2 linked regions of the Neurospora crassa OR74A genome follow. Each later gene encodes a partner of the first gene's protein in a complex. Links are inferred from orthologs where the notes say so. Each region holds a gene or a part of one and is shown on either strand. Other genes may lie near its edges.

Region 1 (5,323 bases):
CATTGTGCGTAATGAATCCAGACAACGCCCCTTAACTTCAAAAGGTATCGATATATGTCCGTGCAAGTCATAACCTACATCTCCTACTCCTAGCTATGCCCTTCTTCACCTCTATCCTAACACAACGTCTCACCTCAGCACATCAAAGAAGCCCTCTCACCTCCTCACCCCCCCTCACCAAAACTTGTACCAGCTCTTCTTCTTCTCGCCCCCAGGTGCAGTCATCGACGTGCCCTGCACCACCTCCCCCTTTTCCGCCGCCTTCTTCTCCTTCGCCTCTTTAGCTTCCTTGGCCCTATTCTCCGCCTGCTTCTTCGTATAGACCGCCACCACCCTCTGCATCTTCTCCTTCTCCTTCCTCCTCTGCCACTGGCAGTACTCGTACTGCGCCATCGCCCCCACGATCCCGCACCCTACACCCCAGTTGGCCGCTTTCGGGATGGGCAGGCCCATGATCCACCGCAACACACCGATGCCTGCGCCGGCGCCGATGCCTGTCATGAAGCCTTGGCGGGCGCAGGGCGTTTCGTGCACGGAGAGGAAGTCGGAGGGGGAGATGGTGGAGGCGACTTCGGTGAGGGAGATGCGGTTGGATGAGTGGGTGGTGGGTTTTTGTTGTTTTTGTTGTTGTTGGGAGGGTTGTTGCTGTTGTTGCTGGCCTGGGACTACTTGTGGTGTGGTGTTGTTGGACTGTGGTGGTTGTTGTTGGAGGTCTTGAGAGGGCGCAAATGGAGCAGGAGGGGGAGGGGGAGAGCCGCCGCTGCCGCCGCTTAGCCAGGAGCGGGCGGCGGCGTCGGGGTTTGTGGGTGTTGTTGTTGTTGTTGTTGATGATGTTGTTTGGTCACGCGTCATGGTTGCGGTTTGCGATGATTGTTGATGGGACGGGCTTCAGTTTCTCTCGTGTTCCGTCTCGAAAATGCGCAGTTCTGTCAGGGCGCAGAGAAAAGTGTGGAGTTGTGCGTGTATGGTAGTTGTGTGAATATATGTGGAAGTCGCTGGTTGTTATTCGCTTGCTGGGATTGCAGTGTTTGAATGGCAGTCACGATATGTATCGGTAAGGTGATGGTGAGTTGAAGTGACGGATTGAGCAGGGAAACGAAGAAAGTGGAATTGGCCAATGGAGACTGCTCATTGACGTTCTCTCCGTCGTCTTCCGCACGGCGGCCGAAGGTGTCGCGGGGAAGCTTTTTTTTTTCTTCCTGGTGGGGACCTTGCGGGATTACGGGGAAGATGCAGGTACTTTAACGCACTTACATGGGGAACATTAGGCGAGCTACCGTAGAGATTCAGCTTCCAATTGTCATCAGAACTTCCGTCTAACAAACACAAGTTAGTAACATCAGTTACACTTCCGCCCTCAGATTCGGAGCCGGCTACGGGACGAGCTCGTACAATGCCCGACCTTCTTAGGTAGAGGTAGCTTTGACTTGGAGATCCAATGGACGGCAACTTGGACGGAGACAACAATGGAAGGTCCAAGCTCCCGTCCCTCCCGATCGGGCCGCTTCATGATTCGAGCATGCCCGCCCCGGCGGAGGGGCCGTGTCCCGAGCTGAGGTAGGTGGAGGGAGCGTCTGCCGGCGGGCAGCCCACTTCCCCACCGCTCCAATCCTTGTTCAGCGCCTTGACGCCCTGTGAGTGCCCTGAAACGATCAGCTTGACTAGTGGGCAATGTGTGCGTTTAGCGCCCGGCGCGTCAGACAAATTGGACCGTCTACCGTACGTAGTCGCGTCTGGCGCGTCTCCCAGTTAAACGACTTTAATGGGTTCCTGAGACTTTCCAAACATTGAAGTGCCTGCCTCCCATCTCACAACCCCATTCTCTTCACCAAACCAAGGGACCCTGTGCCAGCCATACCTCGAATCTTGGCTGGCCCTCCATGTCAACCTACTTGTGAAAAAGACATATTCCTGTTTCTTGTCTCTCCTTCCATTTCCATCCGACTTTTCTTGGATCGAGAGATCCTACCGAACAGGACGGAAAACGGAGGGCAGACCAAAGCACAAGACGAACATCTCGGGGCCTACGCAAGGGCCAATCCAATTCTTCGAATATGCCCAACACTTCTCTAAGGCGACAGCCTCAAAAGGGCTACCGTCGCGGTGGCAAGAACGCCTACCATGGCGGATCCAAAACACGAACGTTCGCTGCCTCGGCCAGCGCCCGCGGCGAGGCTACCTCGACAGACGAAAAATGGGAAAGGACAGCCCTTGCGAACCAGATCGACGAGAACATGGGCTTTGCCCGATACGATGCCGGGAAGAAGCGCGAAGGCTGGCTGGTCAACGTACAACCGACATCCATCGACGACCCCCGTATCCCCGGCGGCGGCGGTCGCGCGGCACTCGACTGCTACTTCATCGAAGAGGACGGGTCAACATTCAAAGCCACAGTCGAATATGAGCCATACTTTCTGGTCGCATGTCGAAAAGGTCACGAAGGCGAGGTCGAGGAGTGGTGCAAGAGAGTGCCTGGTGGCGGCTGCGTCAAGTCCATCCGGCGGGTCGAGAAGGAAGATCTCAAGATGCCCAACCACTTGCTGGGCTATCGTCGAACATTCTTGGAGCTGAGGTTTCATAACGTGCAGGACTTGATGTCCGCCAAGCGCGATGTCATGCCCATTGCGGAAAAGAACAAAAAGGGCATGGATGCCATGGATACATATGCCGAAGTAGCATCGTGGGTTCCTCTCATGTTATCTGTACAGGCTGATCACCGCTGCTGACACATACCCCCCCAATTAGAGCGAACGGCGGGTTTGATCTTTTTGATGACGATTCACGAAATGACGAGCGACGACATAATGCTGGTTTTGCAGAGGCGAGCGATTTCATTGTTGATATCCGGGAATACGACGTCCCATACCATGTGAGAGTAATGATAGACTTGGGTCAGTTCTCCTTGCACACTCCCCAGCGTGTGTGCTTAGCTGACCATCCACAGACATACGAGTTGCTAGATGGTATCATGTCGAGGCCAAGAATGGAGTCACGACAGTAAAAGTAAACGAGGAACGTTTGGCCATGGCCGATCCCGTCGTAATGGCTTTCGATATCGAGACCACCAAGTTGCCCCTCAAGTTTCCCGACGCCGCTATTGACCAGATCATGATGGTCTCATACATGATCGATGGCCAGGGTTTCTTGATCACAAATAGAGAGATTATCTCCGAAGACATTGCTGATTTCGACTACACACCAAAACCCGAGTACCAAGGTCCGTTTATGATCTTCAACGAACCTGACGAAAAGGCCCTTCTCGAAAGATTCTTCCTGCACATCAAGGAGGCCCGACCAACCGTCATCGCCACCTACAACGGTGACTTCTTCGATTGGCCTTTCGTGGAGGCTCGTGCCAGTATCAACGGCATCGACATGTACCACGAGATCGGCTGGAAGAAGGACAGTGAGGATCAGTACAAGTGCAACTACAGTGTGCACATGGACTGCTTTCACTGGGTAAACCGTGACAGTTATCTCCCCCAGGGTAGTAGAGGTCTCAAAGCCGTCACCGTTGCCAAGCTTGGATACGATCCCGATGAACTCGATCCTGAGCTTATGACACCATATGCCAGCGAGAGGCCGCAGACGCTGGCCGAATACTCCGTCTCCGATGCCGTCGCAACATACTATCTGTACATGAAATATGTGCATCCTTTCATCTTCTCTCTCTGTACCATCTTGCCGCTAGGCCCAGACGATACACTAAGAAAGGGAACCGGTACGCTATGCGAGATGTTATTAATGGTACAGGCTTACCAAAAGGAGATTGTGTTACCCAATAAACATGTCCAGCCTAAGGAGTCCTTCTGGGAAGGACACTTGTTGGACTCCGAAACGTACGTTGGTGGTCACGTCGAAAGTATCGAAGCTGGCGTCTTCCGCGCCGATATTCCCGTCAACTTCGCGGTTGACCCTACCGCCGTGGATGAGCTGATTCGGGATCTTGATGCAGCCCTAACGTTCAGTATTACGGTTGAAGAGAAGAAGGAGTTGAGTGATATCGCCAACTACGACGAGGTCAAGGAGCAGATAACGGCCAGGTTGATGAACCTCAAAGAGACGCCCAATCGACTGGAACGGCCGCTCATTTACCATCTTGATGTCGCCTCCATGTACCCCAACATTATGACAACCAACCGATTACAACCCGATTCCATGATCTCCGAGTCAACTTGTGCAGCATGCGACTTCAACCGCCCAGGAAAGACTTGTGACAGAAGACTACCGTGGGCCTGGAGAGGAGAGTACCTGCCAGCCAAGCGCGACGAGTACAACATGATTCGCCATGCACTCGAGAACGAGAGGTTTCCAGGAAAATACCCAAACAGCCCGATGCGGTCATTCCAAGACCTGAGCGCAGACGAACAAGCCACTCTCATCCGAAAGAGACTGCAGCTCTACTCACAAAAGGTGTACCACAAGATCCACGATTCCACCACGATTGTCAGAGAAGCGATCATTTGCCAGCGCGAGAACCCCTTCTACATCAACACAGTCCGTGACTTCCGTGACCGACGATACGACTACAAGGGCAAGGCGAAGGTGTGGAAGGGCAAGACGGATTCGCTCAAGAGCTCGGGCGCATCCGCGTCCGAAATCGATAATGCCAAAAAGATGATTATCTTGTTCGATTCCCTGCAGTTGGCCCACAAGGTCATTCTCAACAGTTTCTACGGATACGTCATGAGAAAGGGATCTAGATGGTACTCGATGGAAATGGCCGGTGTCACCTGTTTGACGGGCGCAACCATTATCCAGTTGGCGAGACAGCTCATTGAGCGACTGGGTCGTCCACTCGAGCTAGACACTGATGGTATCTGGTGCATGTTGCCGGCGACATTCCCAGAGAACTTTGTGTTCAAACTCAAAAATGGCAAGAAAATGACCATCTCGTACCCATGTGTCATGTTGAACCATCTGGTCCATGACAAGTTCACCAACCACCAGTACCAGACTCTGGTCGATCCAAAGACCTTCAAATACGAGACGCACAGCGACAACTCCATCTTCTTCGAAGTCGACGGGCCGTACAAGGCCATGATCCTACCCACCTCCAAAGAAGAAGACAAGAACTTGAAGAAGAGATATGCCGTCTTCAATGACGATGGCAGTCTTGCGGAGCTCAAGGGCTTCGAAGTGAAGCGAAGAGGCGAGTTGAAGCTCATCAAGATTTTCCAGCAGCAGATCTTCAAGTTTTTCCTGGAGGGTACCACCCTGGCGGAATGCTATAATGCTGTCGCCAAGGTCGCTAACCGCTGGCTTGATGTACTGCATAGCAAGGGTGCAACGCTTGCGGATGAAGAACTTATGGAACTGATTT
Region 2 (5,103 bases), on another chromosome or scaffold:
TGAAGCATGCAACAAGGTATGCTGCTGACAGGAAGGCTGGGGCGTTGCGCTAAGCCGATCTAATCTCCGGTGATATGGTCTCCGTTATAGATAAGCAGGCTGAAGCCTGTTTTCCTCTTCATGCATTGTAAAGGGGAGTACAGCCATGACGTGCAGGTGCTGCACAACAGGGAGCGAGGCGTGAAATCGACGGAAAGAAATTGATGGCGCCTGAGATGCCCACCGTGTTCGAGGTTCGATTGTGCCCTGCCACCGTAGCGTCCGCCCAGCAATACGAGTTACCCTTTTCCCCGATCAGCTTTACAGAGCCAATAGTCCCAGCCCCAAGACCGATTCAAGAGCAAGATCTCCCAGCACAGCCTCGTAATAAGCTCAAGGCAGATTTTTCTCCAGACAATCAAACATTTCACTCGAAATGTGCAAAACTCAGAATGTACACTCCCTAACCCTCCCTCCACCCGTCCCCGTCCCTCCCACTCCCGGTAACTCATACTCAACCCACCGTGCCGCCCCCTTCCTCCCCGGCACTAATATGCTCCCCGGATTCATCACGTGGCACCCCTCATACGTCACGCAAAACGGCGGAGCGGTAGTATCCACCAGTACCATGGCCGTCGGCAGCGGGTAGAGGTACATGGCGGAAGTATAGTCCCAATGTACCGGGCGGATAGCTTGCCGGAAAGGAGCGAGATAGCCTTGGTCGAGAATGGTTTTCACTAGCTTGCGGGCGGCGAGGACGTCGTAGGGTATGGAAGATGGAGGAGGCATGGTAGTCTTTTGGTTAGGGGCAGGGGCAGAATCGACATCCATGGCGTCGGTCATGGTTGTGTCGGCCATGTCTTCGTCGTCAGCATCGGGGGCGTCGGGGAGGGAGGAGGGTGGACATTGGTTATCCATTGCCGAGTCGTCGTTACCATTGGTTGGGGGTTCCGGCTCGACGGAGGCTTTGCTCGTGTTCTTAAGACGGACAGAAGCTCGTCGTAACCGGGCGGAGATGTCATCTCGGAAAAGAACCATTTCGTGACTAGGCCCGAAAAGGGTTATCCTACTTGGGTTGGTTGTCCAGACAGCTTCGCCGCCTCTCCTCTTGCCTGCATCCTTTTCTGTTTCTTTGCCAGGGTTGGCTAGCCCGGCTTCAGCATTCGCTGCTGCGAATACCCTCCTGATGCGGGAAGTAAACAGATCTGGGACGGGTTTCCTCGGCAAAGGAGTTGCCGCACCACCTGAGAAGGCAGACACCCACCCGTCGTTGTCACCTGGCACAAAAACAAAGGTAGCCGTCGTGAGCAGACTAGGGAAATCCGCCAGTGTCGATGCCAACGCATCGAAAAACTCCTTGTACTCAATACTCCCCCCACTCCCGCCCCTCGCCATGACAGCATGCTGCGTGAAGTTACCCGCCAGCACAAACGTCATGGGTGTACACCCTTCAGGATCACTAGCATAGAGACCCAAGATTTTTCTCAGTGCCTGCAAACTCCTCGGCTGATCTAGGTTTAGTTCGCCAATAATCACTGCCCTACCCCTCGACGGCCTGCCATCCTCCAACAGCGCTGGTTGCCGAAGAATTCTGTGCTCCAACTTGCGCATTTTGGACCCGACTGCCCTCTCGCTACCTACGCCCAGGAAGTCGATCCAGCCGAATCCGCCGCCAATGGTATGATCAGCGCCGGTGCCGTCGGGCCCACTAACCCCGAGCGTAACGCGGCGCTTTTCGCATGGTGGCTGGCCGATGAAGAAACCTTGGAACCGGCCGCCGATGGTACCGCCCACACCGCTGCTACCACTGAGACCGTTGCCCATGGTCATGGTTTCCTCCTCCTCTTCGTAGACGCCGTCGATGAGAACAATCATTCCCGGCGTAAACCAGGCAGAATCTTCAGGGATGGCGACAGCGTGAGAGAGGTCGAGAGTAATGGTGCCCGTCAGGTCGCTGATGGCAAGAGAGCCAGTGGGAAGGACAACAAGCATGCCCAGCAGCATGTGGTTGCTGCCATGGCGGCCGAGCAGGTTGGCGATTGGGGTAATCTTGTGGGAGGAGAGGCCGTTGGCGTTGGTTCGTTGGCGCAAGCTGGAGCCTTGGACGGAGGAGGATTGAAAGGCTTCGTTGCGAAGGATGCGCTGATGAATAACGTTGTAGCGGTTGCGGAAGGCATCGGTTTTGTGAGAGGCGGCTGGTAGTAGGGAGGGTTTGGAAGGATCCCTACAAAGGTTAGCTGTGTAACCTATGTAAAGAGGGTAATAAATAATAAGGGACCATACCTCTCAAAATGCTTCTTTCCAACATTATACATCAACCGTGGTTGATCGAAAGCATGTATAACCTTCAGCCACCTCCTAACATCTCTCACCGAATCGTCTTCCGGCTCTTCTGTGAACTCCAACCCAGACATGCCAAAGCTGGCGTTGCTGTCCTCCCGGGTTAATGATGGCACGGGCCGAAGTCCGAGTCGACTATGCGCATGTTGTTCGTCTTGGTCGGGCTCTAGCAAGAGACTGTTTTGTCTGCTCAAGCTTCGTGGCCCGGTCAGGATCTTTCCTCCGCTCATGTTTCCCTCGAGGGTCTTGAGAATGTCCTTGAGCTCGGGGCTGTTGCCTTCCACGATGACGCCGCCATTGCGGTTCTTCCAACTCCTTGCTACCTCTTCTAGCACCTTTTCGGCCAGGCCTTCTTCCCTCCATCCTGAGCCACAGTGTCTACCGATAAAGGTTGCGAGCTCTTGTAGGGCAGTTGATGTAAGTGTTAGGCTGTGTTTCTTGGTAAACGTTCGGAAGGCGAGCGGTCGTAGTGTCGCCGGCGGAAGGATGATGGGCAGGATTGCGGCTTTTGTGAGGACTGGGGGTTGGAACGGCTTCAGTGGATGTACTGGAGTAGCGAAGGCGGGCGAGGACGAGGGTATCGGGTTGGATGGGCCCGCTGGGGTCTTGGGCGCAAAGAAGCCGGCGGCGGCTGCTGCTTGTGGCTGCGGTCGAGATGGTCTGTCTTGGGCGTTTGTCTGGCCGGTTTTCGTCCGCTTTTGGCGGGGACTTTGAACGATCATTGTGTCTGTGGTCTGGATAGCTCGACTAAACTTGCAATTTAGTATAGTCGGTTACAATTGGCCGTCTACCAGTCTGTTCGTGGTGGTGATATCCGTCATTGTCACTGTCTGGAAGACGCGTAAATTGAGAAACGAAGCAGGGGACCAGACGCGTTCTAGTGGGGCTCACCCCAGATTTCAGCCAATACGGGCTCCACAATGTCAGAAACAGGGGCATCAAGGGCCACCTACCCTGGTTGCCGCCGGCAGCGCTAGAGAGGTACCTACAGCAGGTACCTACGCTACAAGTAGACGCACGAACAGCACCAGAGTGACATCAACTAACTTTTGACGCCATCACCAACCTTTTCATTCTCGATATCAGATTCAATACAGCCAGTCATGATGCTTACTACAAGATTTCGTGTAGTTCCTACGCTACGAAGCGCAGTCAGGTCATTCACGACCTTGCCGTCCAACCCAAACATTGCAAGTCATCCATCCACCTCTCCACCAACAACCCCACCCGCACTTACACCACAACCCCCATCCTCACCACATCACCACACAACAACTCAAACACCATACTAACACCCATCACCACAGAAAGTCTTTCCCCACCCAAACGACCCAAAAAGCTACATCCTCTCCCTCCTCCCCACGACCCCTCCCCCACCCACCCTCTCCATCGGCACCACCACCGCCCTACCCCCAACTCCCCAGTCCTTCACCACCAACCCCCACTTTCTTTCCATCCTCAACTCCGTCCTCGCCGAACACGCCTACTCCGACCCCGGTCTTCAATCACAAGCCCAAGCCTTTGCTTCCCCAGCCGGTTTCTCCTTCCTTCCTCGTCCTGGCTCGAGAAAGGTAGGCAAAAAGGGCAGCGACACGGGCGCCGGCGGGGCGTCAGCGGAGGGAGGCGCGGGAGGCGCGGGCAGGGGAGGATGGGTGCACTTGAGTGATGAGAGGACGCCAGTGGATTTCGGAAGGATTGCGTGGCCCGAGGATATCTTTGGGAGCGTGGAGGTGGATGGGCAGGGAAAGATGATCGAGGGGACGTTCCAGGGGAGTGGGACTTATCGGGTTGTTACGAATCAGGGCATGTGAGTATTTTTACTTTGGTGAGGTGAGGTGAGGTGGGTTGACGTGGTTGCTAACTGTTGGGATTGGTTACAGCTTGGGACTAAGTCCGTTTTTGATGGAGAGGTTGGTTGCGAGGTTCAAGGAGGAGGAGGCGAAAGAGAAGCAGAAAGCTTGAGAGGAGATGTTTGGGGTTTGAAGGATGTGGGTGGTGAGAGCGGATGTACAATAGGTGAGCGGTCCGTTTGATGTGTCGCTACACTTCATGCTGTTGTCCAAAATAAAGGGGAGACGTACGTCTTGGGGTTCGATTCGTCAATGAGTAATGTCCTAAATTTTCAAACAATTTACTGGGAGATCTGACATATGTCCTAATCAAACAGTGAAGGACTGAAAGGATGTGAGCGACGAAGCATTTCAACGCTGACTGATCCGTTTTGTATATGTAAGTGGAAGCTCGACTACTGCCTGAGGTGGGATACAAGATCCGAGAGAGAAGAAAGAACCAAAAGAAGAACGTGATTCAAAGTGAAAGTGAACAGGATAAAGATGAGAATAGAGAGGGAGAAAAAAAAAAGAAAAGAAAAAAAACATACAACACCAGGGATTCGCTGGTCGTCACCGACCCAACTACTAGTCTGGCCCTCACTGGCTTATCTATGGGAGAGCGGACGGGATCCCGAGTTTTCCAGTGGGTATGGTCGTATGTGTTTATTGAGGGGATTTCATCTTGCCTATAACCTTGATTCGGGTGCATTCCTACCTCTAGAGAAATGTACCGGCCGCGACCTACCGACTCATACAAGGAAAAACTCGTGCCTCTCCCTCTCCAACCTGCCCTCCAACTCCCCATCCATGATCCCATCACAATAAGCCTCGCCCACAAAAGTGTACGTGTTACTACTACTAGATGTACTGTTATGATCGTCGTCGTCGCCGCCGTCCTCTTCATGTCCTGTTGGTCTGAGCACATACGGTATGGTATCCCCACACAGCAGGA

Evidence for each region. The genes of interacting proteins can lie anywhere in the genome.
Region 2: the proteins of NCU04548 (region 1) and NCU10155 are in contact, whole or in part, in a cryo-EM structure (PDB 6WJV), measured with the Saccharomyces cerevisiae proteins. The link is inferred for Neurospora crassa OR74A from reciprocal best matches to the Saccharomyces cerevisiae genes POL2 and DPB2. Residues at the interface, in NP_014137.1 of Saccharomyces cerevisiae: Asp1115, Ile1116, Pro1117, Glu1133, Tyr1327, Asp1329, Ser1330, Glu1332, Pro1333, Gln1369, Glu1410, Lys1411, Asn1413, Cys1414, Ser1416, Phe1418, Asn1419, Gly1425, Val1426, Phe1427, Glu1428, Pro1595, Phe1596, Thr1598, Lys1599, Gly1602, Thr1603, Leu1606, Lys1614, Leu1617; in NP_015501.2 of Saccharomyces cerevisiae: Phe207, Leu208, Pro209, Ile211, Phe218, Leu219, Tyr222, Leu287, Asn289, Asn291, Phe292, Glu299, Asp300, Pro301, Asp409, Asp410, Leu411, Lys412, Ile413, Ser440, Val441, Pro442, Val443, Phe444, Ala445, Ser446, Met447, Ser448, Ser449, Arg450.

What each region holds. Positions count from the first base shown.
Region 1 is NC_026507.1:1,470,968-1,476,290, forward strand, and holds the start of NCU04548 (DNA polymerase epsilon), read left to right. Parts: upstream 1-1,794; 5' UTR 1,795-2,054; coding exon 2,055-2,680; intron 2,681-2,745; coding exon 2,746-2,891; intron 2,892-2,944; coding exon 2,945-5,323. Other genes in the region: NCU04549 (hypothetical protein), read right to left, coding at 175-852. UniProt on the Saccharomyces cerevisiae protein: Catalytic component of the DNA polymerase epsilon complex which participates in chromosomal DNA replication.
Region 2 is NC_026505.1:1,591,781-1,596,883, reverse strand, and holds the start of NCU10155 (DNA polymerase epsilon subunit B), read right to left. Parts: upstream 3,175-5,103; 5' UTR 3,042-3,174; coding exon 2,263-3,041; intron 2,204-2,262; coding exon 427-2,203; 3' UTR 1-426. Other genes in the region: NCU04588 (hypothetical protein), read left to right, coding at 3,423-3,509, 3,627-4,126, 4,200-4,281; NCU04589 (heterokaryon incompatibility protein 6), read right to left, coding at 4,901-5,103. UniProt on the Saccharomyces cerevisiae protein: As accessory component of the DNA polymerase epsilon complex participates in chromosomal DNA replication.